Linked DNA regions of Rattus norvegicus. The protein of the gene in region 3 binds, or shares a complex with, the protein of the main gene of each other region. Links are inferred from orthologs where the notes say so. Each region holds a gene or a part of one and is shown on either strand. Other genes may lie near its edges. The genes, in order: Mbip, Yeats2, Sgf29, Dr1 and Kat14.

The links.
Region 1: Sgf29 (region 3) and Mbip share a complex: the UniProt entries of both Homo sapiens proteins name them as parts of the ADA2A-containing complex. The link is inferred for Rattus norvegicus from reciprocal best matches to the Homo sapiens genes SGF29 and MBIP.
Region 2: Sgf29 (region 3) and Yeats2 share a complex: the UniProt entries of both Homo sapiens proteins name them as parts of the ADA2A-containing complex. The link is inferred for Rattus norvegicus from reciprocal best matches to the Homo sapiens genes SGF29 and YEATS2.
Region 4: Sgf29 (region 3) and Dr1 share a complex: the UniProt entries of both Homo sapiens proteins name them as parts of the ADA2A-containing complex. The link is inferred for Rattus norvegicus from reciprocal best matches to the Homo sapiens genes SGF29 and DR1.
Region 5: Sgf29 (region 3) and Kat14 share a complex: the UniProt entries of both Homo sapiens proteins name them as parts of the ADA2A-containing complex. The link is inferred for Rattus norvegicus from reciprocal best matches to the Homo sapiens genes SGF29 and KAT14.

The regions. Positions count from the first base shown.
Region 1 is NC_086024.1:79,556,032-79,562,622, forward strand, and holds the start of Mbip (MAP3K12-binding inhibitory protein 1), read right to left. Parts: upstream 4,444-6,591; 5' UTR 4,361-4,443; coding exon 4,232-4,360; intron 935-4,231; coding exon 815-934; intron 1-814. UniProt on the Homo sapiens protein: Inhibits the MAP3K12 activity to induce the activation of the JNK/SAPK pathway. Component of the ATAC complex, a complex with histone acetyltransferase activity on histones H3 and H4.
Region 2 is NC_086029.1:94,313,359-94,319,410, reverse strand, and holds part of Yeats2 (YEATS domain-containing protein 2), read left to right. Parts: intron 1-1,025; coding exon 1,026-1,118; intron 1,119-3,934; coding exon 3,935-4,180; intron 4,181-5,693; coding exon 5,694-5,809; intron 5,810-6,052. UniProt on the Homo sapiens protein: Chromatin reader component of the ATAC complex, a complex with histone acetyltransferase activity on histones H3 and H4. YEATS2 specifically recognizes and binds histone H3 crotonylated at 'Lys-27' (H3K27cr).
Region 3 is NC_086019.1:190,692,181-190,698,232, reverse strand, and holds part of Sgf29 (SAGA-associated factor 29), read right to left. Parts: intron 4,581-6,052; coding exon 4,505-4,580; intron 3,566-4,504; coding exon 3,493-3,565; intron 750-3,492; coding exon of another isoform or gene 725-749; exon of another isoform or gene 1-724. UniProt on the Homo sapiens protein: Chromatin reader component of some histone acetyltransferase (HAT) SAGA-type complexes like the TFTC-HAT, ATAC or STAGA complexes.
Region 4 is NC_086032.1:1,610,703-1,617,347, forward strand, and holds the start of Dr1 (protein Dr1), read right to left. Parts: upstream 3,855-6,645; 5' UTR 3,234-3,854; coding exon 3,014-3,233; intron 1-3,013. UniProt on the Homo sapiens protein: The association of the DR1/DRAP1 heterodimer with TBP results in a functional repression of both activated and basal transcription of class II genes.
Region 5 is NC_086021.1:152,220,405-152,226,456, reverse strand, and holds part of Kat14 (cysteine-rich protein 2-binding protein), read right to left. Parts: intron 5,154-6,052; coding exon 4,737-5,153; intron 4,649-4,736; coding exon 4,086-4,648; intron 1-4,085. UniProt on the Homo sapiens protein: Component of the ATAC complex, a complex with histone acetyltransferase activity on histones H3 and H4. May function as a scaffold for the ATAC complex to promote ATAC complex stability. Has also weak histone acetyltransferase activity toward histone H4.

The DNA.
Region 1 (6,591 bases), on a different chromosome or scaffold from region 3:
GATCATCTTTTCATACAATTTTGTTTCTATTGTTTGCTATGCCAAGTACTCTTTTGAAATCTTCTAACATCTTCGACACAGTAAAGTGACCAGGAAAAACAGTTCTGCTTGTCCTGATGAGAGAAAAGCTCTAACTCACATCAATTACACTTGCAGAGATGTTCAACAACAGCAGCAAGGCTATAATACTGTTCGTTTCTCAAGCTGAAATATTAAAAGTGTAACAATACCATGATAAATAATTCAATATTGACTTCCAATAAAGGATAAATTATTTCAAATTATTAAGATGAAATAGTGACTGGCTACTCACTAAGATGAAACATTAATGTCACAGAAATTACTTTCTTTTTAAAAACTACGCTGAAACTGTTTAATTGCAATAGACACTCCAGGATGTGTCATGCTGGGATAATGCCACTTCTTGAACCACTGAAAGCACTCCATGAGCCTCCCAACTCACCCAAGGCATGGAATCATTATCATAGCATGACTCACACCTGCCGCGTCTTATTGCTTAATTATAACCCACCATAGATGAACTGTATTGAATTTTCAGCAAAGCCCAGAATTGAATAGAATTGCATTTATTCACTCTCAAACCCACATCGGTCTGTTGGGCTATATTCTCATAACTATCCCAATCACTAGTGAAATTAACAGACCTAGACTCAATATGGATTTCTGCAACCTTTTACTAATAACAGTTATTGTTAACAGAATGTTGAGGTAGAACTGAAAAATACTCCAGCTAATTAAACTACAGTTAATTTCTATTTTGAATATCCAGTAAACATTCTAATATGAAATTTACCTGTAAATACAAAACGTGTTGTTCAAGTGCAGTAAGGAGCAGTGCAGGCTGGGATGTTGAGAGGCTCTGGAGCCTGTTCCAATCGATTGTAATTTTCACCACATCATCTCTGAGGTTAAGCTTCAAAGAGGCAAAGTAGCAACATCACAAAAATTACACGATTAAGCTATATATCTGGGATTATCACAAAAATAAGATTTCTATAGAGTAATGCATGCCTATTTTGCTCAAGTTACTAAGTTTCAATGACATAATAAAATGCTTTCTGTAGTTGCTATTTTAAAAAGCTAAAAGGCACAGCTTTGAAAATAAAAAAGATAAAAACATGTCTTATTATTTTAATTTGGTTTCTACGTCTGTATAATAGGGCCATCTTTGAGAAGCCATAGCCTCTTTTGATACTTTGATATCTTAAATACCTTTGGAAGGTATCCAAAAATAGGTCTGCCCTAATCAGAATCCTAGGCATTCAACAGACGGAGATCAACTACTGCCTTCCAGAAAGTATTCTCTTTGTTACGTATCACACAAACACATGCCTAAAATAAGTCATTACCCTGATGTCTTCTCAATCACTCTTATTGTTTTCAAATTTAACCAATTAAAAATTTAAAACTAAAGATTATTCACACATAGGGATAGATGACAGTAATTACAAATAAAAATCTAATTATCAGTTATGAAATTATTGAGGTTAAAAAAACAAGTACTTTCCCACAGCAGTGTTAACAAAGCCAAAAGTGGATGCCCAATGTTTCCTAAGGATTTTCTAGAAAGATATATCTCATACCATGAAAATTTCTCATCAACTAGTGATTTATTAGGGCAAATGTATATCTAGAAAACTACCAAGAACTGAATATAAAATTAATATCAAAATCTGTCAAATTTTAGAGGGAGAAGCTTCCACCTGTAATAATTTGACTGAATATGAGGGAATCTCTATAAACTTTTCTGGACACAATCCAAGTGGAAGCAAGTTAATTATACTTATTTTGTAAGAATAATTTATTAAAATTTAGTCATATTTTCCACAAAGTAAAGATGTTTCATGAGCTCAAATATAATTTAATGAGCTGTAAGAATAAAAAACCAAGACATGAATCGCTGTCCATGGAACCAAAGAGATCTCAGGTTCCTCTGTTAAGCACTCTACTGTATAAGTAATGGATAGAGACCTACTGCCTGAGACCAGAGGCATCTGAGTCTACATTTGGCAAACATAAAGAAATACAAAATTTTACACAGGCTATACTGACAAAGACAAACTTATACTAAATTAAGATTTGACAGTAAGGTTAATTAATAAGATAACTGAATTTATTATTGTGTATAAAGGTACTCCATCAGCATGCATTTACAGTCAGGGGATCTATAGTTGACCAAGGCAAATTTATGTTTGGGGAATAAACAGGCAAGTCTTAAAGCAAAGCAAAGTATCACCTTCTCTAGAGAAAATAATTATAGGAAAGAAATCTTAATATTTAGATCATATTTTCATGTCAATTTGGAAGGATTATAGAAGCTTTCAAAGGCAACTCAAGATACTTGGTCTTTTATGGAAACCAAACAATAATGTAACAAATTAACTTAAAAATGACCCCCAAATATATCCAAAACATTCAGCAAATTCCCTAGTAACATGTGGAGTCTATGAATTTTTACCCCATAACTCTTGGGACAGTAACTAGGAATTCAAGATTTTCTATTAATATACTATTAACAATGTCTATTCAATTATGTATGTTCAGTAGAAACACATTACTTTAAACTAACAGAAAATCTTTAGCTTTGTAATTTGGGCCAATGAGAGAGAAGAAAAAGGTTAGTATTAGTATATTTTGCATTTGGAGAAAAAATACTTTTTAACAATTCAGTTTTACATTTTAGATCAAAAAGAGCTAGTAATTCAATACTTAAGATAAACTTAGGCATAATACAATTTATATCTTAAAAATCCTTTTAATTTGTTGCAAAAGACACATTCCACAGGGGCAACTTTTTAAGCATAGATGGCTTTCATCATTAATCATGCATCTAAAAATACATGCTATTACTAAAATAAATAATAAATCATATTTGACACATGTATAAAGGTCTCTTTACTGTTAAAAAACATTTTCTCTAAACATTTTTGGCAGGTGGTGTAAGTTAAGTTTAATCATTTTTCCATTTGAACCTTTGAAATAAATTTATATAATTTTGAAAAATTTGGTATGCAAAATTTAGATATTCAAATAATTTATCAATGTAAATTATTTTGCAACTTCTAAGCATAATATTCAAGAATATTTTTCTCATCTTTACATTAGTATATGAATGAACAAGTTCCAAATCCATGCCAAAAAGTTCTCTAACTTTTAAACTATTTAAAGATCTGTTATGTTACTACTGAAATATTATTAATAAGGAAAGACTGTAATTAATTTTTTCATAATTGCTTATTAAGCAGAGTTTAAATTTTTTAACTTTTAAAAGTCCAGTAATAATTGCCTTATAACACCAAACAGAATGTACAACTCAAGTACTCAGCCAGTCAAAATAAACTTACTAAGATTTTCAAAAATAATTCTCACAAATCAGGTAAATGCCCTATTCTCACTGCCCTTGACATATATGTGTGCTGTGTCCATTTCATGCACTATACCAGCCCCCAGACAAACCAGGAAACATGTTTGACGCAAAACTTCTAAAAGCAAGCAAACGTACTTTTGTTCCTTATTTAAAAATTGCCTCATTTACACTATGAATGACTATCTAGTAAAGTGCAACCTAGTTTTTAAAATTCAGTTTCACTGTGACATTTCTGTAAAGAGCAATTAGCTAAGTTACACAACAGCAGTAATGTAGTTAGAAGTGGCCGCACATAACTCATCCAGCTATTCACAGTAAAATTTAGGCATACTACAAATGAAATTGTGGAAATCCTTATACATCTCTCCCCGTAAAAAGAGTAAGAGATGCAATAAATGGTGGGAGAAAAAATAAAAAAAAAAATAAAACCCAGTCAGTCACCCCGAATGAGTGGAGATGGCGCTAGAAAAAGTTTCAGGCCATATTAACCAGTGAATTTCTCTAAATACACTGGAGGCGAAAGGAAGCGTCAGGAGCCTCCTTAACCTTCATCTTTTGGGTATCAATTTTCTGCAAGCGTTCGGCGCCACGACCCCGCTTTTCTCTAGACCTTGGTACTCACGCTCGGTCAGCTAGTGTGCCGCTGGCATCTCAGGGTCCCAGGCATCTGGGTCCGGGCTCCTCCGGGTCTCGGCAGCCCGGCCTTGGCACACCAGCGGCACACACCGTGCCAGGGGGCTCCGCGCCCCCTCCTCAGAGAGAACTAAGGGGATAGGACAGGGTGCTCCCCACCCTACCCCATCCCACCCCACCCCACCCCACCTCCGCCGCACCTCCACTTACCTGTCCTGTCAGGGTGTGCAAGGAGCGAAAGACTTCGCAGAGGACCTCGCGGGTGAGGAGGGGGCTGGAGCTTCGCTCTAGGTTCTTCTCGCAGCTGCTCGAGGAACTATGCTCCGCAGTAGCAGCCATGACACCTTCACAGCAGCCCCCAACCACTGCGAAGAGTGCTCACCCCGACCCCTCCCTCGCGGATTTCGTCTCACCGAGATGACGTAAAACTACAGCGTCTCATTTAGACCCGAGGGTAGGCCCCACCCTCTGTGTGTGACAGACGTGCACAAAGACCAGTCAAGAGCAAGGATATCCGCGCTCGGAGGGAATGAGTGAGTGCTGTTGAGAGCTAAGCAGGACCTACTATCTGGTGGTGTTTTCAGTAGACGGCTTTGCCTTAGAAACTCACTTAGCTCTTAGATGCTCCCCGTGAATGCTGGCAGAGCCTTACTGTTAAGTGTTAGAATTTGGGTCCCACTATTAAAATTTAAACTGCTAACATGGCAGGGTGGAGTTGTCTTGGAAAAAAAATGCGGGTCAGTGTGGAGCAGTGCTCACAATTTTCTAATTACTGAAAACTATACCCAGGATGATCGTAACTGGACAGAACATTTTCATCTCTACAAGATTGTTGTTACGAAGAATTAAAAAAAACAAAAACAAACAAACAAACAAACAAAAAAACCACGAAAGGGCTACATTATGCCTCTTTTCCCTACCATAGAACGACATTGATAACTACATCTGCAAAACAGAGTTATGTCAAAGTTCTGACATGCAACAGTTTCTCGGTGAAATAACTGGAAATTGGTGCCTAAAATTGTTTATAAAAATATAAACCAACTTATTCCATGTAACCACACTCACGTTAAGATATAAACTGGATCAACACTCATCGGATATTATTAGATAGCTTTATTTTACTGAAAAGTTATAATTTTATAATGAAGAGGTCTCTTAAAATTTTAAAACAAGTTTAAGAGGTAAAGGACGAAACTTAAAACGAAAATTAAAACTTGCCTGGTGGCAGTGGCTCAGGCCTTCAGTACCAAAGCACTAGGGAGGCAGAGGCAGGTAAATCCCTGAATTTGAAGCCAGCCTGGTCTACAAAGTGAGTTCCAAGACAGCAAGGGTTACACAGAGAAACCCAGTCTCAAAAAACAAGCAAACAAGCAAACAAACAAACAAAAGATTTAGAACTCTTCTTCGTGATAGTTAACGCATTTAGCCTACTGGAAGTAGAAGTATGAAGTTACTGGGTATTCTATGTAGTTTGAGAGCAGACTGAACGAAGGAAGAAATAAGGAATTAAGTAACACTGGGATAAGGACAGTAAAAATGAAAGAACTCCTTTTACCTGTCTAAGGAGCCTCATATTCACTTATAGCCAGAGACTTCTGGTATTATCGGGCTTAACAGGATCTTGAGAAAGCTTGTCTGTTTCCTTGTTAGCAGTAAAATGTAAACTTAGGCTTGGCAATACAATCTTCACCAGATTAAACCTCAAATCAAGCACCCACTCATTCAAGTCACTCATATCTGTAATAGAAATTCACAATTCATTTCAATGTTAGCACGCTTTGTCTCTGATTCTCTTGTTAATGGGTGACAATTGTAATGTGGAACCTAAGAGTCCTTGTTCTGTACCAAGTACTGAAAATCAGATGTTTTTACTCAATAAAGGACTTTTACCACACATTCAAGAATGATTACGGTGTTTCTCGTCCTTTCCTTTGTCAGGACTGATTTTGAAATCTAAGCATTTCATTTCACAATTTTTATTTTTGGGGTGTGTGTGTGTGTGTGTGTGTGTGTGTGTGTGTGTGTGTGTGCGCGCGTGCGCGAGCATGCATGTTTGCTTCTTCTCATGCATGGTTGCCCAAAGAAGCCAGAGGGGGCATGGGATGTGAGCTGCCCAGCGTTGGTGCCTGAAGTCAAACTCTGGCCCTCTTCAAGAACAAACAGTTGCATTCTTAACCACTGAGTTTTTTCTCCAGCTGCAAATTCCAAATCTTACTTGATATCTTGTTGTTGTCCTATTGTCTTTGTTTTTCGAGACAGGGTTTCTGTATCTAGCCGAGATTCTCCTGGAACTCCTGGAGCCACACTGACCTCAAACTCAGAGATCCACCTATCTCTGCCCCCCAAGTGCTGGGATCTAAGGCGTGTGCCACCATAGCCAGCTGCTTACTTGATTTCTTGAACCCCTAATATAAGAATAACTGGTCATTTGATTTATCTCTCAACGGCCTAATAATTCTCTTATTCCAAGTTCAGACCCACTCTTATATTTTATAATTGCTTACTTAAATAATGTTTAGAATACGCACTGCGTGTTCTGTCTAATGGCATCTTCTAATCCTTTCTGA
Region 2 (6,052 bases), on a different chromosome or scaffold from region 3:
GGCATGGTGGCACACATCTTTAATCTCGGCATTCCAGGTGGACCTCTATGAGTTCTAAGACATCGTGGTCTTTATAATGAATTTCAGGCAGGTGAGGCTACAGAATGAGACTCTGTCTCAAAACAAAAACAAAAAAACTATCCTGCTGAGGGATGGGTACACAGCTGTAATCTCAGTACTTGGAGGTAGGGACAGGAGAACCAGACATTTAAGGTCATCCTCACTAATTGTATTTGAAGCCAGCCTGGGACACATGAGTCTTTGTCTCAAATACCCAGAATAAGTAAAAGTTGGAGAAAAGATAAAAAGTCCTACTTGAGCTTCCATCTCCGAAGGTAATCCTTTTTGGTATCGTTCTCAGTATATTACAGTTATTTCTTAACTAATAAATATGCTCACACTTACTTTTTTTTTGTTTCTTCGTTTTATTTGTAGGTTTTTTTTTAAGGATTTGTTTATTATGTATCATGTCCTTCTGTCTGTATGTAGGCCAGAAGAGGTCACCAGATCACTTTATAGATGGTTGTGAGCCACCATGTGATTACTAGGAATTGAAATCGGGACCCTGGAAGAGTGGCCATCTCTCCAGCCCCTGCTTTTGTTCTTTTGAGACAAGTTTTCTCTCTTGGCTGTTGTGTGAGTCCTGGAACTCAGTCTGTAGACATAGTTGGTCTCAAACTTCAGAGATCCACCTGCCTCTGCCTCTCCAAGTGCTGGGGTCAAAGGCTTATGCCACTAGACCTGGGGTATTTGGGATTTTTAAGACTTTACTGATCAGGGAAGCACACACACTGTCCCCGTCCCCAGTCTGCTCTGGGGTAGAAGTATAAACTCCAGGACTTTGCTTATATACATGAAGTACATCTCCAGCCTGAATCTCTGCCAGTTTAATTAGATGAGGAGTTTTTATTTATTGAAGCAATTCAAGAAGCTGAGTTTTTGCTTTTGTTGTTTGTGTTTGTTCTGTGGATTTTAAGTCGTTATTTGCCGATTTAAACAACATTTAAACTCTCACTTGTTTTTAGCGGCTGATTGAAGCCAGAAGGATGATGGATAAGCTCCGAGCCTGCATTGTAGCAAACTATTATGCATCGGCTGGTCTCCTGAAGGTTTCTGAGGTAAGCGTTCCTCATGGTCCAGGCTATTCTCAGCCACCATTTTCCTTGTCTTGGGGGTAATCAGGACCGTGTGGATTCCCTACCATTGAGACCTTTCTGATATTGGCCTTTAGCATTTAATAAGCCCGAGCACCTTTCTGAGGAACATAGATCACCAGGCAATTTGTTTAACATGGTCCTATCCTTTCAGTACTAATTGCTAGTATAATACTGGCAGGGAAACCTCACTGCAACTCCTCCTGGGTCTTCCTCTTTTGCTTTGCCTTACCCAGCGTGCCTTGCTCTTTCAAAGGCTACTTCTTAATGATAGTTTTCAGTATAAGAGAAAGACAAACATGTTTACATACCATGTAGATTCATCACTTTAAAATTCTATTGTTTTATTTCCTCTAAAGCATTTAAATTAAGGTCTTAGACATCATAACATTTCGGCGCTCACTATAAAACTTTTTTACTCCATTTTCTCTTTCTCCTGGCAGCCGTGTATTAACCCCAGAGTGCCAGTGGAGGACACACAGGCACAGTACCTGTAAAAACACAAAATCAGAGACTATAAAATCAAGCAAATGATCAGTAAGATAAAACAAACAGAAAACCAGATAAAGCACTATCCTGTGGGTGTCCTTCCAGGGTTTCTCTGCATCTAAGGTTCCCTTAAGGAATTAGTCCTGGGTGAGGGTTGCCCTCCGTCTTGCAGTAGGACTTTGTTTTAAATCGATTGCGTCTACAAAGACCCCAGTTTCCCCCTCCTGTTCTCTGTGTGCTCGTGCCTGTAATCAACCCCCGGCTTGCACATGTAATAGGCATATAATGTACAATTCCGTAACGATGACAGCCCTTAGGCAAGTTCTGAATATTCTGGCTGGACGTGAATTGTGGAAGCTGTGTTTTCCACAGTTCTGGCATCACTGATTGAATAGCTCAGTATTGGTTCAGCACAGTGCACATCATGAGCTGCATTTGCGTGAGATAAAGGAGGCGGTAAGCAGATGCTGACCTTGAAAAACTGGTTAGTGGTTTGCTGATTTACCACTGGGATCTGGGCCGTCTGGTTGTCTAGAAATGCACCAGTTTCAGCCCCTGGTGTTCTGATGAAGACCTACCAAGGGCTGGAGATGGCTCAGTAGTTGGCGTTAGTTGGGTTCAGTTCCCAGTGTCCACATGGTGGCTTGCAACTCTCAGTAACTTTACGTTCCGGGGATCTAGCACCCTCCTCTGTCTCCTGCAGCTGTCAGGTATCCACATGTTGCACATGTGTGCATGCACACAAACCACTCAGACAGATAAAATAAACCCTTAAAGATTAAAAAAAGGGACTGGGGATTTAGCTCAACCTAGGAAGCGCAAGGCCCTGGGTTCGGTCCCCAGCTCCGGAAAAAAAAGAACCAAAAAAAAAAGATTAAAAAAAATTCAAGAAATCTTTGGCCAGGCTTTGTGTTATAAAGCCATGTACTTATTTTAGTTTAGAGAACACACAGTACTGAGAAGCACTGCTACCGAATTAATCAGCTCTTTATCTTATTTTAAAACATTAGTCTCTTCACCCACACCACAGCTTTTGTTTTGATTAATAGCTGTGTAACTCCCTCCCCTCCCCCTCCCTCCCTCCCTCCCTCCCTCTCTCTCTCTCTCTCTCTCTCTCTCTCACTCTCTCCCTCCCCGCCCTGTGTGTGTGTGTGTGTGTGTGTGTGTGTGTGTGTGTGTGTGTGTGTGTGTGTGTGTTGTCATGTGTGCACGAGTCTGAGTTGGGATGAAATCTAGCAGCTGCAATCCTCCTGCCTCTGCCTCCCAAGTACTGAGATTCCGTACAGTAGCGCCGTGCCCAGCCAGTGATACTGGTGGTTTTTTGTTTGTTTTTGTTTTGTTCGTGTGTGTTTGTTGTTTTATTTTTTAAATCGTGTGTTTGTATCTGGGTGTGTCCACATGAGAGCAGGTACCAGTGGCGGCCAGAGGTGTCCTGATTCATTCCCTTGGAGCTAGAGTTGAAGTTGTGAGCACATGACATGAATGCTAGAGCACCCAACTGAACAACTGAACTTAGGCCCCTGAGCTAGCCTGAAGGAATGTTCTTCGTTGCTGATTTTAAAGCTTCTACTTTTGTTGTTTTTTAACTCCAGTGTGGGTTTCATTTTTTTATACTGTGTACTTTCATTGTTTGTTTTGAGGCTATATATTCCAGGCTGACCTGGGACTGAAGATGAATTTACTTACTTAGATTCCAAAGACCTTGGGATTGTAGGTGTGCGTGAGCCACAGTGCCTGTTCTATGTCCTTTTAACATCAAATCTTGCTGGGTGTGGTGGACTTACCCTGGGCTCCTGGCCTTCTTGCCTCTACCTTCTGGATGCCAGGATTACCGGCATGCTCCCAAGCTGCATTTGTGTGGTACTACAGAAAGCCTTATTTTACTTTTTGAATGTAGTCCAGGGTGGTCCAGAACTTCAGATTCTCCTGCCTCAGTTTCCTCAGTTTCCTGAGTGATGGATTCATGTGTGTGTGCCCCTACTGTGCCTGGCTCATTTTTGACTTTGAGTGTTAGAACTTTTGCACAATTACTTGTCACTCTAGTTTCTGTTTTGTTGACACAGGCTAAGTATAAGAATTTATGGGTACAGAGAGATTTTGTTCTTTCCTTTTTCTTTCATTTATTTTTGGTTTGAGCCTAGCCTTTACTAGCTGAGCCGTCTCTCCATCAGGATATGGAGAGAGATTTGAAAGGTTGTTAACATGATCTTAACGTAAGTAGAAGTTTTCAGGAGTTAGGTTTTTATCAGTGTTTGTTGGTTTAATTAAGTTTGCTTCTTTCCTTTTTCTAGGGATTAAAGACATTTGATCCCATGGCTTTTAACCACCCTGCTATCAAGAAATTTTTGGAATCACCTTCTAGGTCATCGTCTCCTACTAATCAGAGATCAGAAACACCATCTGCCAATCACTCTGAAAGTGACTCTTTATCTCAGCACAATGACTTCCTATCTGACAAAGACAATAACAGCAACGTGGATGTGGAGGAAAGGCTCTCAAGCATCGGGGAGCAGAGACTGAGCCGGAACACGGGAAGGGTACAGGCTCCAGGGGGAACAGACCTGCTGTTTATTACATGTGGGCGGGACAGAAGTACTTTGATTTTTACAGCAGAGAAAAGGGCCTTTGGTTCTTTGAGATAGGGTCTCAGTCTGGGGCTTACCAGACTAGCCTATAACTTGAGGTATCTCTTGGTGTGTGTGTGTGTGTGTGTGTGTGTGTGCGCGCGCGCGTGTGTGTGCACACTTTGGTGGCATTCTTACTTTAGAGCAAAGCACTCTAGAGTGCAGCATAGCTCTTGGACGTCATTCGTGAAGTTGGGAAAGAACCTTAAGGATTAGAGTCAGATGATTATGGCTGAATGTCTAAGTAGTGACTCCTGTAATTTGTCATACAAAATCCAAAATACACAATTCTTTTCTTGACATGGTTTTGCTATGAGGCCCTGGCCAGCCAGGCACTGATTATGTGGACCAGGCTGGTCTGGAACTGTAGTGATCGCCCTACCTCTGCTTCCCGAGGGCTGGAATCACTGCGCCCAGCTATGATAGTGTGAGTGCCTAAATTGAAGCTACACTGTGCCTGGTTTATTTGGTGTTTTATTTATCTATAGAGTCATAGTCAAGTTAGACCAGTGATGGCATAGCCACAGCTTCAGTTATAAAAGGGAACTTCCAAGTTGCTTTCCATACATTTAGACATCAATGTTTGATTTCATTTTTATAAAAACAAATTGTTATTTTTCATTACAAATTCACTTGTCTTTTGATGAAAAAATAAAACAGGAAGGCAAATTAACGCATACTTTGACACCTCATAATCAGGACTCTGAGAATTTAGATTTACTTGTGTTTGGTCAGCATTCTTTCTCTTACCTCTTAAGCTGGGATTGCAGGCCTGTGCCTCATACCTGGAATATTTGGTACTGGAGCCTGAACCCAAGGCTTGGTACAGGCCAGAGAAGTACTCTATCAACTGTTACATCCCTAGACCCACTAATTTGTTGTTGGTAGTGGTGGTGTTTTTTTTGAGACAGTCCTGGAAACACTCTTTGTAGATTAGGAAGTCCTCAGAACTCAAGTGCTGGGATCAAAGGCATGTGCCACCATGCCCAGCTCTTTCTTTACAAAAGGAAAATCTGCTGGAGGAATAGCCCAGTGGTTAAGAGTACAAGTTGCTCTTCCAGAGGACCTGGGTTTGTTTCCCAGCATCCATATGACAGCTCACAGTCATCGTAACTTTAGTTCCTAGGGATTGACACTCTCTTGTGGCCTCAGTGGGCACCAGGCATACATGCAAGCAAAACAGACATAAAAAAAATATAAATGAACAACAACAACAACAAGCACGCTGCCAGGCGTGCTGGCCCATGCCCACAGTCTGAGCACTTGGAGAGCAGACGAGAGCCGCAGAGCAAGTCCCAGGCCTGCTGGGCTGTAGAAGACCCTGCTGTCTGAGAGAGAACACTTTCTGAGTTCTTTATGCCTCCATTATGGCAGCACCCTATCGAATATTGTTTAAGTGAGCACAACCCTTGGTCGTTTCTTTCAGGACACGTCTAGTATTAGTGGCTCCCACAAACGAGAACTACGGAGCGCCGACCTCGCAGGAGATGAGACTTCCCGACTGTTCGTAAAGAAGACAATAGTAGTCGGCAACGTGTCCAAGTGAGTACCCGAGAGATGCTTCCCATCGGCCGCTCACTTCCACACGAGCACTGGGCCGCCACTGCTGCTTTACCGTGGTCATGCTGTAGGAGAAAGGCTCTGGAGTTCTGTCTCCCTTGCTCGTCTGTAAAGTAGACGATGGTCTAGAAGTATTCGCAGAGTAACCTTGCGCCTTAGTAGAACTACGACGATCTCATCTGGTCTCCCCGATTCACTGATACGCTGCCCTGGACCCTGTCTGTG
Region 3 (6,052 bases):
GAATGACAAGAAGGGATGCCTGATTTGAGTATACCACTCCCTAACAGGCTCTGTGTTTGAGCAGGTGGTCCTTAGCTAGAGCTTTGTGCATGATTCTGGATGCTTTAGGAGGTGGGGCCTTGCTAAAGAAAGAGGGCTGGTAAGGTATAGACCTTATGGGTTCTGGCCTGAGCTCTGCTTCCTGAATACAATGTAACCATCAGTCTCATGTTCCTGCTGCCATGCCTTCCCTTCCACGCTAGAAAACCCTCTCAAAGCATGAAGCCAAAATAAATCCTTCTTCCCATTAAGTTACTTCTTTTGGGCATTCCAATACAGTAAGGAGTAAACAACACAGGGAAACTCCAGGGCTGTTCCAAGTACAGAGGGAAGGGAGGAACCAGGAGCCTAGAGAGACTAGCCCAGCTCAGTGTGGCCAGGTCACAGGGACTCATTCCCTGTAAGACTGAAGCCGTCCCCACTCCTGTGTGGTCCGGTGGCCTGGCTTCCAGAAGCCAATTTACAGGGGCTCCAGGCTGGCAGTAGACAGTAGACAGCGTACAGCTTCTCCAGAAGTTTCTTTATCTCAGATCTTGTGAATTCTTATGGAAAAGGCTCCAAAGTTGATCAGCAGGAACAACTTCACTGTGGGTCACTGTTATTCTGTTTCCACAAACCCTTGGCAAAGCTTGTGGGTGCTGGCACTCCAGAAAGCAAAGAATGATAGTCAGGAGGCCAAAGAACATCAGGAGGCTGATGTTGCTGTGGGACTGTTTGGAGAACATAGTTTTATGTCATAAGTCCAAAGCTGCAGTCTACATGACATCAAAACAAACAACAAAACCCATCAAGAATCCAGCCCAATCCTTCAGGAAAAAACAAAAGGGTACTTAAAACTAGAAGTTATGTGAAATGGGATATTCAAAACAGCCACAAAGCATTTCCCCACAAGACATTTGGTGATTACACAAAGGAAAACAGAAACCTGGGAGATCCCACATCAAGCAATGAGACAATAGTATCTTGGGCCTTCTAATAGAAAGTTGTTACTGTGTTACACACACCCGAAGCAGAAGCTCAAACCTGATTCTAGAAGTCAGGAAGCACTAAGTACACCCATAGGAGGGACTACCACAGAATAACTAGCCTATAACCTGCAAAAGGTCAAGTGACAAAGGAATAAGAGACTGAAAACTGTTCCAGATCAAAGAAGACTCGAAACAAGACACTGAGCGATGGAGATCTGCACTAGGACAGGACCTGTCTCATAGTGAAACTTGAGTAAGTTTTCTGGGTCACAGTTTCATATCTGAACTGATGTCCTAATTTTGAGATGATTACAGTTTTAGGATCATGTTCCAATATATATGATATATAATAAATTTTAAAAATGTATCTGATATATAAGAAACAGTATGTTACTGATTACCTAACACCAAGTGGCATGGGTTTGTCTGACCTACCTGGCAAGTACCCTGAATGGTTGGACCTGGTAGCCTCATCTCTTTGGCTTGCTTTTTCTCTTCCAGCTGCTAGGTTGGGAAGGTCTGGTTGGATGTTTATAGGGTGACTATATTATTTAAGAGTCTAAAAACCTGAATTCGGAAAAATATTTCAATGTAGGCCCATGTGTACCTAACTGCCTAAGTGCTGAATGCTAGGTAAGTCATGCCAGACATTCCATACCAAACTCCAGTCTGAGTCTTCACTCTGCTCAGTCAGGGAAGGAAGGGGCGGCTTGCTTTTTACTCTCAAATGAAGACCTGGGGGTGTACTCAATAGTACAGAGCTTGCTTAGTATGCATAAGGTGCTGGGTCCTCTCCCTAGCACTACAAAAGGAAACACACACACACACACACACACACACACACACACACACACACACGCACAAAAACAAAACAAAACAAAAAACAAACAAACAGAAAAAAAAAGCAACCCACATGCAGCACTCTGCCTTATGCAAGCTCCACTAGCCCAGGCAAGTGCTCTTCTGCAGGAGTAGAACCCATCCATCTTCTGTTCTGTGCCCCAACCACGTCAGACCACTCCAACCAAACTAGAAACTCTGACATCCAGATCTTCCTGTCTGCAAACTAGCTCCCTAATGAACCTCAAAAACTGCTGCTCTTGGGCTAGCCTTTGCTCCCTACCTTTCTACCATGTCATCACCTTGGAATTGGTCTCTAACTGGCCTTGAATCCTGCCCCAACCCTTTTTATTGCAGCTTTAGGCTTTATTGGTTCCCAGAGGCCTCTAAAGTGAGGCTTGTGGTACATCAGGCTCTTGTGAACTACCCTTCTTCCTAAGCCACGTAGGGCATCCTTATGGCCCTCAAAATGCAGGAATCACTAAAAACATCAGGCTAACACTTATTAGGAAGGCTTAAAATTAATTTTCTGGCTACAACCTGCTCTAAAAAATAGAAAGCCTGGGGGTTGGAGATTTAGCTCAGTGGTAGAGCGCTTGCCTAGAAAGCCCTGGGTTCGGTCCCCAGCTCCAAAAAAAAAAAAAAAGAAAGCCTGGCAGTGGTGGTGCAGGCCTTTAATCCAGCCTGGTCTACAGAGTGATTCCAGGATTGCCAGGTTTACACAGAGAAACCCTGTCTTAAAAAAAAAAAAAAAAAAAAAAAAAAAGGTAAAGAGAATTGGCTACATATAATGCCACATTAACTGTAACTTGTCAGAATTCTGTGAGATGTGTTCATTTAAAATAAGTGTGCAGTAGAGAGGCCCTATTCAGCACCTGGCAGAGTTCTGTGGACTTTCTACCTTAGAAGCCAGGCTTCCAAGTTGTATGGGTTTTGACAGATTTTATAATTCCTTGACAGTAAATTGGGACAACACTATAAACTACAAAAAGGAGTGCTTTGAGGATCAAGTGACATAAATAAATATATGAAGTATTTAGACCAGGCATGGTGGTGCATATCTTCAATCCCAGTACTAGGGAGGCAAAAGGAGGCTAATCTCTGTAAGTTGGAGGCCAGCCTGATCTACATGGTTAGTTCCAGGCCAAGGCTACATGGTATGACTCAGTATAAAAAAATAAAATAAACTGAAGTATTTGGAATGGTACCGGAGCACAGCAGTGTCACCTAGTGGTCCTTGTTTCCATTACAGGCTGCAATAGTCTGTACCTCATAGGAGGGGAGGGCCGGAACAGTTTGTAGAATCTGGCATTCTCGCCATAATCCCACTGTATGTTCACAGTCTGATAGAGTTGTTAACCAGTTTGTAATGACAAGGCAACAGAGATTCAACTGACTGACTGTCAGGTCACATGACTAGGAAGTTGTGGGGACAGGACAAGCTTTACTGCCATCTATAAAACAATAAGCTAAAGGGGAAGGCTGGGTAATGAAACAAGAGCTTGGGAAGGTTCAAGCAATGGAAAAGGCTGAGTGGGACCCTCTTCACAGACAGAAGGTAAGTTGAGGCCATGGTCCCCGAGCATATGTGGCCCAGCCCGGGCAACAGGGACGGAGAGAGCAGCACCCCGTGAGTGACACTTACTTGCACTCCGCCTCCGCATCGGCCTTGGCGGTTGTGTAGAGCCCTCGGAGCTTTGTCCGGTAATAAGGAGAAACTGTAAAACAAGGACAAGGAGCATGAACAAGAGGAGGTGGCAGTATGTGCCTTGATTCCAGGACACCAGGGTCAGCTTGAAGAGGCCAGGGCCTGGATTCCAGGCATCTGGAAGTTTAAACACGCTTCCAGGTTAGTAAGATGGCTTAGTATGGACAGAACTTGCCTCACTTGCAAGTACCAGGAACCAGCTCTATAGCTCAAGTAAAAAAAAAAAGTCAGGCATGCCAGATGCATTTGTTATTAAAATCACAGTAGATATCTATAACTTTAAAAGTTGAAGGCCAGTCTGGCATACAATAAGATCTAGGACAGCCAGGGCTACATAGTGTACTGTGTCTACAAACAAACAAATAACGAAAAAAGGTGAATGGTGTCTGAGGAACAAACACAAGGTTGGCCTTTGCACATATACCCATATGCATACATATGCGTATATACAACCACCCCAACATACATCTAAAAGGGGCTTCCTGTTCGACATGATCACATTTCCATATGGTAAACACACCATCATCATTCTTGAAAAGCGCGTTCTAACCTGTTACCTGTCCATACATGTCATGGACATGTCATGACAGTTACTGAGAAGAAGTATGCATTGTCCAAAGCTAATTTAACTTAGAGAGCAGCAGGCTCAGGGCGATGGCCTGTCTTGGGGCATATGCACAGGCCATAGAGGAGCTCTGCTGTAAGGTAAGTTCTCTGCCATACAAGACTGCCTTTCTAGTCCTGAGCTGAGGGACTCTAGGTCCTTTGGTGCAGAGCAGTCTGTCATCAGTCCCTGTCATTTCAGGTCATTCAGCCAAAGGAATAATGACCCTAAAGAACAACTTTGGAATATGCAATACAGCAAAAACTGCTTTTGAGACACAGTAAGTTCCTGTTCCTAGTTGCAGCTCCTTCCCACCTCCTTTCTCTCCTGCCCTGAATTACTTACTCTTGTTCTCTGTCTGCATTCGCTCGTGGGTTTTCTGAATGTTCACCAAGTTGTGCTCACTTCTCGATCGCTCTTCCTGTAAGGAGGAGGTCAAGAGGCCATGAGGTAGACCTTTTACACTAACAAAAGCCCCCTGTTTACATTAAGGTTCCCTCTGGGTTACACTGTCCTGAGGGATCTGTCCCTATCTCCACAGTCCTATATGCAAGAGTCCTACCTCCCTAAGCATCCTCCACACCCCTGCTATCCTCGTATCCCATCCCATGCTCCCAAGGCTCTGGCAATATCTTTTTACTTCTCTAGTTTTGTCCTTTCTAGAATTGCCACACAGTTAGAATGAAGTATATGTAACCTACTGTGATCTTTCACTTAGTAAAAAAGTGCCAGTATTTCATCACTCTTATTTTTCAGGGTACACTTACTACAAAGGGTATTATCTGAAAAGGACTTTCTGGGACTTGCTCCCTATTGGCTCATTAGACCATGTGATCCAGCAGAACAACCAGTGTGTAAGGTATGATACATGCCTTTCAGTCTAGCACCTGGGAGGGAGAAGCAGATAGGTCTACAAATTCTAGGCCAGCCTGGTCTACATAGCAAGTTCCAGGCTAGCCAGGCCTACATAGAGAGACACTGTCTCAAAACAAAGCGCGCTTGTGCGCATGTGCATACACACACACACACACACACACACACACACACACACACACACATATTTCAATGAGCAAATGCTTGGCAAATCCTTGGTAATAATGAAGAAAACAGAGCAGTGACATGCCCAACATGTCACAGTATGCTACAGGCACAAACATACACCACTCTTTATTTGTGAATGAAAAAAAGCTATTTTAAAATATAGGAAATGGAGAGATGGCTTAACAGTTAAGTGCACTGGCTGCCATTTCAGAGGACAAAGGTTCTGGATCTGATTATCTCTTCTGTCCGCTGGAGGCACCAGGTATGCACACAGAGAACATGTAGGCACTCACCCATAATCATAAAATAAAAATAAGTCTGAAAAAAAAAAAAAGATTAGTGCACTAAGCAGATCCAATTCCCTGGTAGTCACGCAGGACAAATTACAGGTGCACGTGATTATCCATTTACTACTGGAATGCGGCACTGTACATTTTTGGGTATGAAGCACACCAAGCCCATTGGTATACATGCACAACATGAGTAGCAGAGTAAACAGAACAGAAAAAGGCTTTGCGAAGAAGAAACAGAAGATGGCCTATGCATTGTGAAACAAGACATGCTGTAGCCAGTCTTTTGCTACTTTGTGGGTCCTTTTTTCACTCTTTCTCCACCCCTTTTCTTCCACCCTTTCAACCCTCTAACACTAGGTAGGAGAAAAAAAAGATAGAGGGGAGAGGAAAGAGATCACTGAATAAAGTCAGGAGTCAAAAGGGAGCAATGTTATCATTAACACTAGCTTCTGCTGATTAGGGGTTGTTGAGTTCCTTAAGGCAAGTTAGATCTTCAAAGTCGGGATATCTTATTGTTTCTTCTCTGTGTTCCACTGCTTAAGGGAGGCAAACTGCCCTG
Region 4 (6,645 bases), on a different chromosome or scaffold from region 3:
ATTCCTGCCTCACCGGCTTGGCATGAAGACCCCTGGCAATCGTGTCGTCCATGGTACAGTACTCCCAGAAAACTAGGAAACACTTAAGAACTGAGAATCGTTTATTTCTATATTCTCACCACAGTGCTAAATACATCAGTAAGTGTGGAGTTGTAGGAGAAAAACAAAAGCCTCGGACTGTGGGTGTAGTAAACAGATAGAAAGCACTTGCCTAACATGTATAGGGCCCTGAAAAATAATAAACTAGGTGTGGTGGCATATACCTTTAATTCCAGCCCTCAGGGGCAGGGGCGGGGCAGGGCAGGGGCAGGGGCAGGGCAGATAGAGAAAGGCAGATCTCTGAGTTCCAGGACAGCCAGGGCTATACTATGAGACTCTCTTTCAAGCAAAAGAAACAAACACGAACCTTTTTTTCTTTAACTGGGCAGTGGTGGTGGCATGTCCCTTTAATCCCAGCACTTGGGAGACAGACAGGCTGGTCTCTGAGTTCAAGGCCATCCTGGTCTTGAGGAAATGGGAGTTCCAGGACAGCCAGGACTACACAGAGAAATCTTATCTCAAAAAAAATCAACCAAATCGGGTGGGGGGGAGAAAGACTCTCAAAACAAAACTTAAGGTGATTGATTACATAGTATGAAATGGCAGTGAAGCTACACTAAAGCAAAGGTATGGATAACTCCTATATACGTAATGGCAACATTACAGGAAGAGGGTACATTTGTGGATCCTAACACTGGTGGATTGCCGTCATCACACAAAGGAGAAGAGTCAGCCTTTCAGTGTAACTTTCTAAGTCATGCATTAAACTGGTTAGCATACTCCAAAGCTGAACTTTAGTACACGGCTTTCTTTTTTTTTTTTTTTTTTTTGGTTCTTTTTTTCGGAGCTGGGGACCGAACCCAGGGCCTTGCGCTTCCTAGGTAAGCGCTCTACCACTGAGCTAAATCCCCAGCCCCAGTACACGGCTTTCTACAGCTGCACTTCAATCATCATGTCGATCGGAACTCTAAATATACCCTAGAAAAGAATGAGCCTCCCACAAGACAGATTGTGTTATTAGATTTTTGGAACAATCACCACTTCTGTGGTACAAACAAGTGTTTAGGCAGGTCCTACAGAAATCTGCAGTTTCATTAAAAAGTTGATGCTTGACAAAAGGTGGTTCTTCCATTCCTTCACAAAAAGTCAAAGGAAATGTTAGCTACTTGTTAAATATCTTCTAAGAGACTTAAAAACTAAAAAAAAAACTAAAAAAAAAAAAAAAAAGACCAAAAAACCCCAAAACACTTGGTTTCCATTTTTCTTACCACTCAGCAAACCAAACAAGTAGGAAAAAAAAATACTAGTTTTAAGAATCAAGTATGTCAGCTGGAAAGATAGCTCTGCAGGACATTGCTTGCCCAGCACACACAAGGCCCCAAGTTCATTCAGCATGTACACACCAAAGAATCAAATAAGCAGCAGGAATGGTAGTTACATGTCCATGATCCCAGGACCAAGAGACTGCACGAAGAGGCTCTAAGTTTAAGGCCAGGCTAGGTAACAAGAGTGTGAACCTGTTAGCATCTTGCCTTTCCTAACCTAAAGTAAAAACATTGCTTTTTTCTTAGTTATCTGCTATGTGCTGAAATGGCAGAGTATATGTGCATGTGATATGATTATACACACACACACATCTATCAATCATCACGACTCTTACTACCTACTGGGATTGACCTCTGCCATGCTAAGTACTCAGCCTTGAGACCCCCCTCATCACAGCAAGGTGTGCTTTAAATCTACCATCAGCACAGGATAAAGGCTCAAAAATTAAACACGTGACCTTCTTGTCAATACTGACTGCAAAATGGTTATGTTCCATATGATCAGATATGTTCTCTATCAACAGGAAAGTAAAATTTTTAAATGTATAAAATGGCAACGAACTACCTGCCTAATATGATTAAATTTGTTCCTTTTAACCTTAAAAGTAATCAAGAAGTTGTCCTCATTTTCAATAGATTTATAATAGAAGTGATTTACCAAACTGAATGCAACTTTCTCATAAGAGTTCATGAAAAGCCACAGAAAGTATTTCCCAAAATTTGCCAAAAGCAACTTTCGTCTCCTTTCCCTGTAATCATCAAAACAAAATCCCAACTCCAAATCCTTTCCAGCGTAAGAAAGAAACTGTGGGAACCTTTAGAAGCGTTTTTCCATAAAAGCTTAAACGCATAGACACATCCAAATTGGAGCAGCAGGACAGAGGACAGGCTGGGCAGCTCAGCAACAGAATGCTGACTAGCATGTGTCAGGCCCTAGGTTCAAGCCCGAGTACTGTCGTCCCCGCCCTGCCCCAGCCACCCTTTACAAATAATTTTCAAAGAACAATCAATAGTTGGAGGAAGTCAAAAAGGAAAAAATGTGGCACTCGGTTACCTGGTGATAACTGTTCCACCACCTCAGCGTTTTGTAAAGCAAAAATTATACTTTTTGGAAAGAAATTAACTTTACAACAATGAACATACTCATGTTGATAACTTTTTTTTTTAAACTCGGACCTAGGGCCCTTGTGCATGCTAGGTAGATGATATACCACTGACCTCCGTTCACAGCCAAAGAACTTTTTCTACCCCTGTGTTCAAAATGAATCTTTTCCTCAGCACAGGTGGGGAAGAGATATACTCTCTGACTCGACTCGTGCTTGAAATTCTAAAATTTAACTTCCCAAGAGAGAACTTTGAGGTTCCTTTCTCAGTTGTTACTATCCAAGTTTAGCTGTAGGCAGTCAATTCTTGTTGCTTAAAGACCTGATCGGAAACTGTACTGGTTAAATGTTGTGGATGTTTGCTGACCCTAATGTTTGTACTTCTTACTTGCATTAGCTGGATGAAGAAAATGTCCGAAGAATGCTACATAGGTATTTTAAGGTAACTGCACTTACTAGTGAAGTGGAATGAAGGCTCCGTGACACTAGGAGTGACTCTATTAGCCTGGACCTTCATTTAAATTAAATCCCACACAAATTGCTTACCTTGGATGACATGCTCTGGTGAGATTGTCTTCTTTTCTGACTTGTTACAAATCTCGTTGGCTTCGGAAGATATAAGGTGAATGAATTCAGTGCAGCAGTTCACTACGAGCTCTCGGGCATCGTTGGCCACCCTGACATTAGGGAGAGTCTCTTTGATCATCTTATTTATAGCAGCTCTCGGGATAGTGAGATCATCGTCGTTGCCAGACGAGGAAGCCATCGTGCCTTCCTGTCTTTCAAGCCCTAACTTTTAAAGTCCTCCCTCTAGTCCACCACTCCACGAAGATTTCTCAACAGGCTGTCCCTGGAGAGAGATGTCGGGGTCCGGGAGGCTCAGAGTGCAGCAGAAACCAGGAAGGAGCGGGCTCGAGGGCAGGGAACACCCACTGTGTGAGAGATTTTAGTGCGGATATGAAGGAGAGGTCAGGGGGCTGAGGGCTCGCTCTGGGGACACCACTCCCAGGGCTCAAGAACCACCTTGCGTGTCGCCTCAAACGGACTGGCGCTGTCGCCTAACCGAACCTAAACGGCTCGGGGGCGCACGCAAGACCGAGGAGTACCCGCCCGGCCGCAGTACCGGGCGGACGCACCACAGCAGGGTCGGCTCTACAGAGCCGGAGCCCCCGCGGCCACCGCCACTAGCAGCGGTTGCAGCCGCCTCGGCCAAACCATCCTTCAGGCACCCGCGCCGCCGCCTCACAACATGTCTGCCGAAGCCGCAGCTGAACGCACGCTGGCTGCCTGGGAACCAAGTGGACAGGGCCGAAAACAGCGGGAGCCGCAGCGGCAGTCGCCGCGACCGAGCGTTTGGCCGAGAGCAGGCTGTGGGAGCAGAAGCGGCGCTAACGGTGGTCTTTCTACGGGCCGGGGAAGGAGGTTTGCCGCAAGCTGATCCCGACACGCTTTGCGCCACCGGAAGTCTCACTCCCGGGGTCCCACCCGCCCTCCTCGACGGATTTCCGAGTGCTCGCCCCGCCCTTCACCCCGCCCGGGCGGGCGGGAACCGCCGGTGCTGGCAGCCCGCAGCTTCCGCCCGTCGCTGCCCGCGCTCTGCGTCCCCGCGTTTCCTCAATCAGGCCCTAGGGGAGCTCGCCTGCTCTGTGGAGGGATGTGTGGGCCGAAGGGCCATCGGAGGGCCACGTGGCGGAGCAGCCCTGGTCTTTACCGAAGAACTTCCTTTTCCTACGTCCTTAGCTGTCGGAATTAGGGCACTGAGTGAGAGGAGCATATCCCGGCGTGTGGGGAAAAAGGCCTTTGTAACTGCTTAACAGCGTTCAGATCGGAACTCCCTGTGCTCATTTATGACAAAAAAAAAAAAAAAAAAAACAAACGAAGCTTTCAAATAAGTGGCTACCCTCCGTAGCACAAACGGCTAAATCAGAAATTAGTAGTCTGATCCAAAGCTGTGAGTTTGGCCTACCATGAGCTATGGCCCTCTGCACACTTGCTTTTGGAGAGAAGACCAAAAAAAAAAAAAAAAAAATTGGTTTATCTCAAGCGAGTCTGATACTTGCTTCTTTCCGGGTGATTATTAATAACTAGTGCCACATTCATCAGGGAAATTATATTATTAAAAAAAAAAAGCTCAGCCAGGAGATGGCTTTAATCCCAGCACTTTAGATGAGACGCTCAGGCAAGCAAGTCAAGTTCCAGGACAGCCAGGGCAACACTGAAGAAACCTGTCTCCAAACACAAACACAGGCAAAACCAAAAAACTTCACATACGGTCCCATTAATAAATAGTGGGACGTTGTAACTTTTGAAAGGGCTAAGGCACTTAAGCCAACGTGTACAGTTTAGTTTATCGTAATTTTTTGTAGACAGATTGGCAGCTGGGCTGTTGGCAATAATTTAAGATGTTTGGTTTCCAGGAGACTATCATTGTCCCCTCCTACCTGCCTCACTAGACATAGCTTCAGCACTGACCTAGAACACCAGCCTTTGAGTAATTTTTATCTTCAACATTTTCTTCAAGATGCTTCCTGGGAACCATACATTCTTCACTATCAGTGCTACTAAGTTTAATCTTTGATTATAAGGAGTAAATTTCTTCTTCGAAATAAGTAAATTTTGGTTGAGATGTGTTAAGACTTAGGTAAAATATTAAGGTCTAGATGTAAAGTTAAGGCCTAGGTGACTGTTACCTGGGTGGCTTGGCATTTTGTGCTGTTATTATATGGAAACTTTCACATATGAGAATCTTATCTACAGAGTGCTTGTGAGTACTCCTGAGACACTGTCTAAATTGTTTATATCTGCAACCCCGATCCTCGTTGTTGTATTTTATTTTTGTTTTTTGAATCAGGGTTTCTCTGTGTAGTCCTGGCTGTCCTGGAACTTACTCTGTAGACCAGGCTGGCCACAAACTCAGAGACCCGCCTGCCTCTGCCTCCCGAGTGCTGGGATTAAAGGCCTGGGTCACCACAGATGAGCTCAACTCCAGGTTTGAAATACAGTTATTTTTAAAAAGATTTATTTATATGAGTACACTGTAGCCATCTTAAGATACACCAGAAGAGTGTTCACTCTGCCGTTAAAGGCTAGGCTCACAACCAGAAATACAGTATTTTTAACTTTGAAAGTTCCTAAGACTTTAAGGATGGAAAAGAAGTATGAAGATATAAAGGGAATGTCAGTAAAGACTTTACACATTTAAAGGTCTATTGTAAATGAAGTCCCATGAGAAAACGGTACTGAGAAAGATCGCTGGAAAAAATCAAACCAGTAGGAGTGAGAAATGGTGGCGCACCACACGGCTGCAAGGCCAGCACTGGGGAGGGTAAGGAAAGAGGAGTGACAGCTCAAAGATGGACTCTGGACAACACAGTCCAGTCGAAAACTGTAAGGACATAAACAAAAGGGAAGAGGTGATATCACTTTGTCAAAGGGCCGTGAAGAAAGAATATATGCCAACAAAGAACTAAACAAGGAAGGAGGGGGAGAATCAGAATTAGATGCTCCATGGTATTTAAGTGTGGTGGATTCCAAGAGCAGTATGCGCTTCTGTACTTCCAAGAGCAGTGACGGGCTGTGGTGAACAAGAAGATCACCATCTGAAGGCCAGGCTGAGGCCGAGGAAGGGAGCTTTTCATCTGGTGGGGAAGACCAAAGAAGCAAATAGCAAAACAGCTTGGGAGAGGCCAGGGTGGGGGAAGAGTTGTAAAGGCCTGAAGATCAGCCTGAAGACACAGGATCGGTGGGAAAGCAACAGCAGGGCAGAGTGCATTGGAAACTGCAAGCAAAATAAGGTCTTGAGTAGAGGAAGCACCATGAGATTTTAAAAAAAAAATGGTGCAGATACATGCAGCCAAAACGCCCATGCACACAGAATATCAAAGAGAGTTATAAAATAGTTTTAAAGTGAAGGCTCAGCAGGGTGGCCTATGCCTTTAATCCTAGCCCTAGGCAGAGGCAGGTAGATCTCTATAGGTTTAAAAGCTCGAAGACAAGAGAGAGAGAGAGAGAGAGAGAGAGAGAGAGAGAGAGAGAGAGAGAGAGAGAGAGAGAGAAGCTAGGGTTGGGGATTTAGCTCAGTGGTAGAGCGCTTGCCTAGCAAGCGCAAGGCCCTGGGTTCCGTCCCCAGCTCTGGAAAAAAAAAAAAAAAAGAGAGAGAGAGAGAGAAGCTCCATTTA
Region 5 (6,052 bases), on a different chromosome or scaffold from region 3:
GGACCACACTGCTATGTCATCAAGATGTTCCCAGTCCTTCTCATGCCTCAGGGCCTGTGTCTGGCCTTCCATCCAGTTTTCTGCCTCCTGGCATTTCCTTGTCAGCACTTCTTGCAAGGTTACCTCTATCAGAGGATGGTTTTAATTCCCAGGAACACAGAAGTCCTTCCATCACACACACACACACACACCACACACACACACCGACACACACCATACACACACACAGACACACACACCACACACACACACACCATACACACAGACACAGACACAGACACACACACACACACACACCACACACACACACACACACACCACACACACACATACAGACACACACACACACCACACACACACACCGACACACACCATACACACACACAGACACACACACCACACACACAGACACAGACACACACACACACACACGTGTGTGTGTGTGCACACGTACAGACATCCTCAGCCGGTGGATCTTAGCTCAGTGAGTCAACCCCATCCCTCCCCTGTTTGAGAACGTCCACTGCAGAGGACAGAAACCTAGCATTGATTCACCATGACAGCCCAGTTAAAAGAGTGCCTGGCTCAAACTATTTAATTTACATTTACTAAATCGCCAAGTGGGGAAGAAAAAACAGCTTCAAAGTCAAGTAACGTGTGACAGCATTATATGTGCTTCTTTAGGTGTGCAAACCTGGTGAGACCACGGATACTAATGCGGGATGAGGAAAAGCCTATGAAGAAAAAGCTGGCTAAAGCTAACAGTGCAATGAGAACAGAGCAGGCTCTGCACCAAAGGGGCCAGAAAGGCCTCATTACACCCCTCTCAGGGGCTGCTCTGAGTAGGTGACTGTCTGCTGGACTCTTGAGACAGAGGAAAGGCACTACTAAGGTGACCTGAGCATTCCACATCCCAAGAAGAGTATTAGAGGTATAGAGAGTGGCACGGACGCCTGGGAGCATGGGTAGGGGTAGCTGCCTGAGCTGATCAGGAATAAGAAAATGGAAGTGACAGAGCAGGGCCTCTTTATAGAACACTGAGACACCATGGCTAGACCAGGCTTCTGCTCTCCCCTCGGAGAGACAGAGCAAGCTCCAGAAGCACACTCATAGCAGGATTCTGAGATTCCTGGGAAAGACATTTAACAGTTGTAGCTGGTACGTTATATGCTCTAAGGGGCAAGCGTGAAAGGGCAGACGGTAGGTTAGAAAGAGCTGGAAAGTCCTAAGAAAGAAGAAGTAAATTAATGCAGAGAGCAAAATAGCAACAGAGACTAAGAATGTCTTTGACAGTGGACTAATCAATAACCTTCTAAAGAGTTTAGAAGAGTCGTTCTAAGCTTGAGCATCTGCAATAAAACATTTCCAAACCAAAAGGCAGAGAAACAAAGACTAAGAATGAGTGGAACAGAACGTCCAAAAGTTGTGGGAAACTAGAAAAGAATGACAGGAATACCAGAAGGAATGGGGACAGAAAACACGTGAAGCAGTTACAACTCTAATTAGTGTCAGCACCAAACTGCAGATCGAGGAAGCTCACATAATACGACACAGCATACCAGACAGCTCTGTTGTGGAATGCCACTCTTCAGACATGCCATGGCCAGTGCCCTCTAGGGCCGTCAGCAGCTATGATTACCTGAGGTAACCTAAACAAGACTGAACTCACTCACTGTCCACACAGGGTGGGGAAGGGTTCACGAAGCCACACCCCTCCTCTAAGCTATAGACCGTAAATGGTTAGTTAACACAGGGTGCTCATGAGGTCACTCCTCTACCCAAGGTGTTTTAAAATTACTTATTGGCCAAGCCAATATATATAGTGGCACACACCCTTTAAAAAAAAAGATTTATTCATTTATTTTATGTCACAGTGCTCTATGTGCATGTACACCTGCATGCTTGACGAGGGCATCAGATCTCATTACAGATGGTTGGGAGCCACCATGTAGTTGCTGGGAATTGAACTCAGGCTCTCTGGAAGAGCAGCAGCCAGTGCTCTTAACCACTGAGTCATCCCCCCAGCCCTCTGTCCCAGATTTATAAACATTAATGAAGAGATTTCCCCTCCAGTGGTACAGCTGCCCACCAAGTGCCCATGCTCCTGTAAGTAACCCTTTTTGCATTCCTGCAAGAAACTGTGCTGCTTAGTGTTAACTGTCAACTAGCCTTAATCTGGAGCACCTGGGACACTGGCACCGCAGAATGCCTGCTGGGGTTATCCTACCGGATGGCGTGATCTAAGAGGGAAGACCTGTGCACTGTGGGTGGGGTCATTACCTAGCTAGGTGACAGAAAAGGACCTGAGCAGCATGAACTCACTGCTGATTGTTCCTGACAGAAGATTCCATCCGATTAGCTCCCTTCAACTCTCGATGCTCCAACTTCGTCTCTATGGTGGACTGTACATGGAACCATGAGTCAAGAGAAACCCTTTCTCCCTTAAGCCACTTTTGTCAGGGTGTTTTCTCACAGCAGTAGGTAAAGAAACTAAAACAGGGACCCTAGTTAAACTCGTGGACTTGAGTGGACCTGTGGTATACACACACACACACACACACACACACACACACACACACACACACACACACAAATAAATAATAAATAAATGTTAAAAGAGACCATGTTGGGGCTGGAGAGATGGCTCAGCAGTTAAGAGCACCGACTGCTCTTCCCGAGGTCCTGAGTTCAATTCCCAGCAACCACATGGTGGCTCACAACCATCTGTAATGGAATCTGATGCCCTCTTCTGGTGTGTCTGAAGACAGCTACAGTGTACTCATATAAATAAAATAAATAATTTTTTTTCTTTTCTTTTTTTTTTTTTCCGGAGCTGGGGACCGAACCCAGGGCCTTGCGCTTGCTAAGCAAGCGCTCTACCACTGAGCTAAATCCCCAACCCCAAAATAAATAATTCTAAAAAAGAGACCATGTTGTAAGGAACTGCTAAAGAAAGAAGTCCAGCAAGAAGAAATAAATAAAAATCGGAGTTCACTAACATTTACATAAACAACACAAGAGCAAAGAGAGCAAGGAAGGGCCATCAACAATACAACTCTAACAGTAGAGAAAAACACATCTTAGGTCAGAACCTAGAGGAGCAGTTGTGGTGATGGATACCTGAAGGCCAAGCCCAGCCCTCGCCCATTTTAGTGGAGGAACTCACTGGGGTGGGCACAGCCGCAGACATTCATTCACTCCCACAGCTGCTTCATCATAGGTGGGTCTCGGTTCAGCCCGGACTATGTGGTGTACAGAGCCCAGGGTACCTACTATCAGCACTTTTACACAGGAGGGAGGGATGCCATTCAAAACAGATTCCTAAGATAGAGGAAGCAGAAGAGGAAATGGAGACAGCTCCAGAAAGGGCCCACACACAAGCTCCAAGCACACCCAGAGGAAAAGGCCTGGTGCTTGGCATGTCACTGGCAATCAGATATGTGACAAAGATTCCCAAGAGAGTCTAGAGAGGACAAGAGGAAAGTGTCAAAGATTCTCATAAACCAATTTACAGAGAAACAAACAGGAAACACAAGATGTTCAACCTAATCAAAGAGACGTAAATGAGATAAGGTTACACTTCACAGCCATCTGATTGGTTAAGGCAGATGAGGGTCAAGTGTAGTAAAACTAGGTCACTGCTGCTGGTGGGGCAGCCTAGCAGTCCCCAGTGAAATTAATGTTGTCAGAGCACTGGTGGAACTCACCCTGTGAGTAATGCTGACTCCGTACTTCTTCATGAAGAGGCCTAAGGACATAGATGCTTACACACCCACAGCTCCTCTCAATAGGGTCTAGGCTACTACATGTCCTCAACAAATCTGTCAATCAAAACCATGAAACAGACCTCATATAGACACTCTCAAAGGAGACAGACAAGAAATGACTAGGCTAGTCCTTAAGTGCCAAGTGAGAAAGAAACCCACGTACATGAAGGGGCATTAAATGATGAACAATTTTGGAACAAGAGCACAGGAAGATTTTCTTGCTTTCTTTTCCCCGAATCACTCACAATAACAAATGTCACGGAAACGGCATCTACTGCCTGGTGCTGCCAGCCCCACTCCCTCCCCACACCACATCACCTGGTACCGGTCAAGGATCCTGAAGTCCTGGCAGGTGGTCCGGTATGTAGCTTGTCCAGCTGGAAGCCGGGAAGCTCCTCCATCTTTGGCTCCATAAATCCCATCCACTAACAGAAGTGCTGCGTTCACAACCTCGTCCAAGTCAAACAGTGGTAAGCCCCGATCCCTTTTTGCTTGCCGGACGATCAGCTTCCGTTTCAGCCTCCGGGCTTCTGGAGTCATGGCCACGGCACCAGGGCATGCCTCCAGCCTCTTGAGCAGCAGCTTCTCCTCATAGATGCTCACAGGCGTATACCTGGGCCCCTTGGGCTTCGTGTCCTTCTCCAGGGGTGGCTTCCTCTTTTCTCGAGCTCTAGTGTGCAAAGAAGTGTTTGAATCTGTGTCTTCGCTATCTCCATCCATCCTGTCTGGCTTCTCCTCCTCGCTGTCGACTTCCTGTTTTATCTGCTCTGCAGCTCTGACCTTCTTTCTGCTCCCCATCAGCCCAGAAGCTGACCCAGCTGGGGGTGGGATGTACTCCATCCCTGGGTCTATGACTCCATCTCCTTCCAGCTCATCATCATCTGCAAAGCAGAAAGTACTGTCAAGACACGGGAAAGAAGGAAGGCAGAGCACAACTCACACCCGAGTGGAAAACACGGCAAGGCTTACCATGAAATAGAGCTTGGGGTGGCATCACGTCTGGGATGAGGTCTGCTTCAGAGAGCAAGCTAGGCGTGGCAGAATGTGACGCTGGTGTCCCTGGGGCAGAGAAATCCAGAGAGGGAGAAGGAGAGGGGCTTGTGAGGGGGGTACGGTCCGAGGAGCTCAGGGATGAAAAGTCAATCACTTCTCCTTTCTCCAAAATCATATCCGGCCTCCGGCCTCGGCTTATGAACTTGACAGGGGTAGAAGAGGTGCTTCTGTCAAGGAGGCCGGCTGCTTCTTTCTGTGCTCTTCTGATGTCTTTAGCTTCCTGTGTTCGAGACCGCTTCTCTTTCAATTCCATGGCTGATTCCACAGGATTCCGGCTTGCTCGTTTTCTGAGTCCTTCAACGGTAATGATGGGATCCAGTGTTGGTTTTGAAGCTGCCAGGAAAGAATAAATATCTAATTTCTATGTTAACTGTTCCTTTCAAAAATACACTTTATTTTTATGCATATGTATGTGTTTCTGGGCATTTAAAATACAGGTGAGAGAAGGCACCTGAAGTGGAAACTTAAGGGTTCTTTGGAAAGTCAGTTGGCTGTTTTGCTGAGGCAAACAGGTGAGGAACATTTAGCTGAAGTGGACACAGGTGAAAGGCTAAGGCAGGTTCGTGAAGGAATGAGCTGCTGAGCTGCTGACCTATGAACTGAACAGCCGATTTCCAGACAACACAGACAGGAGTCGCTCCGAAGAACCTTTCTTTCTTTCTTTCTTTCTTTCTTTCTTTTTTTTTTTCTTTTCTTTTCTTTTTTTTGGAGCTGGGGACCGAACCCAGGGCCTTGCGCTTGCTAGGCAAGCACTCTACCACTGAGCTAAATCCCCAACCCCTCAAAGAACCTTTCTAACAGCTCCACGTCCCCATATCCTTTCTTTCCCACAACCTCTGGTGGGTGGTGGGCTACAGGGAGGTTAAAGTGTTTAAGAACCATCATTAAAAATAGGTTTTGAAAGAAACTGAAGTTAGAGGCACCACATTTTCTGGAGCCAGATACAGGTAGTTGTGAGCCACCTTGACGTAGGTACTGAGAAATGGACCTGGGTCTTCTGCAGAAGCCTCAAGCGCTCTTAATTGCATAACTTTTTTTAAATATTAACTATTTCTCTCATAACATACTTTTGGTATCATGTTCAATACACAGAAATGTTCAGCAAATGCCCCAACCAAAAACCTTCCCTACCTGTCTTTCAGAAAGTTTTAGCTGGGTGTGTATGATTCTAGTAGTAGACTGAGAACCTCAAGTTCAAAGCCAGCTTGAGGGAAACAGCGAGTTAGCACCAG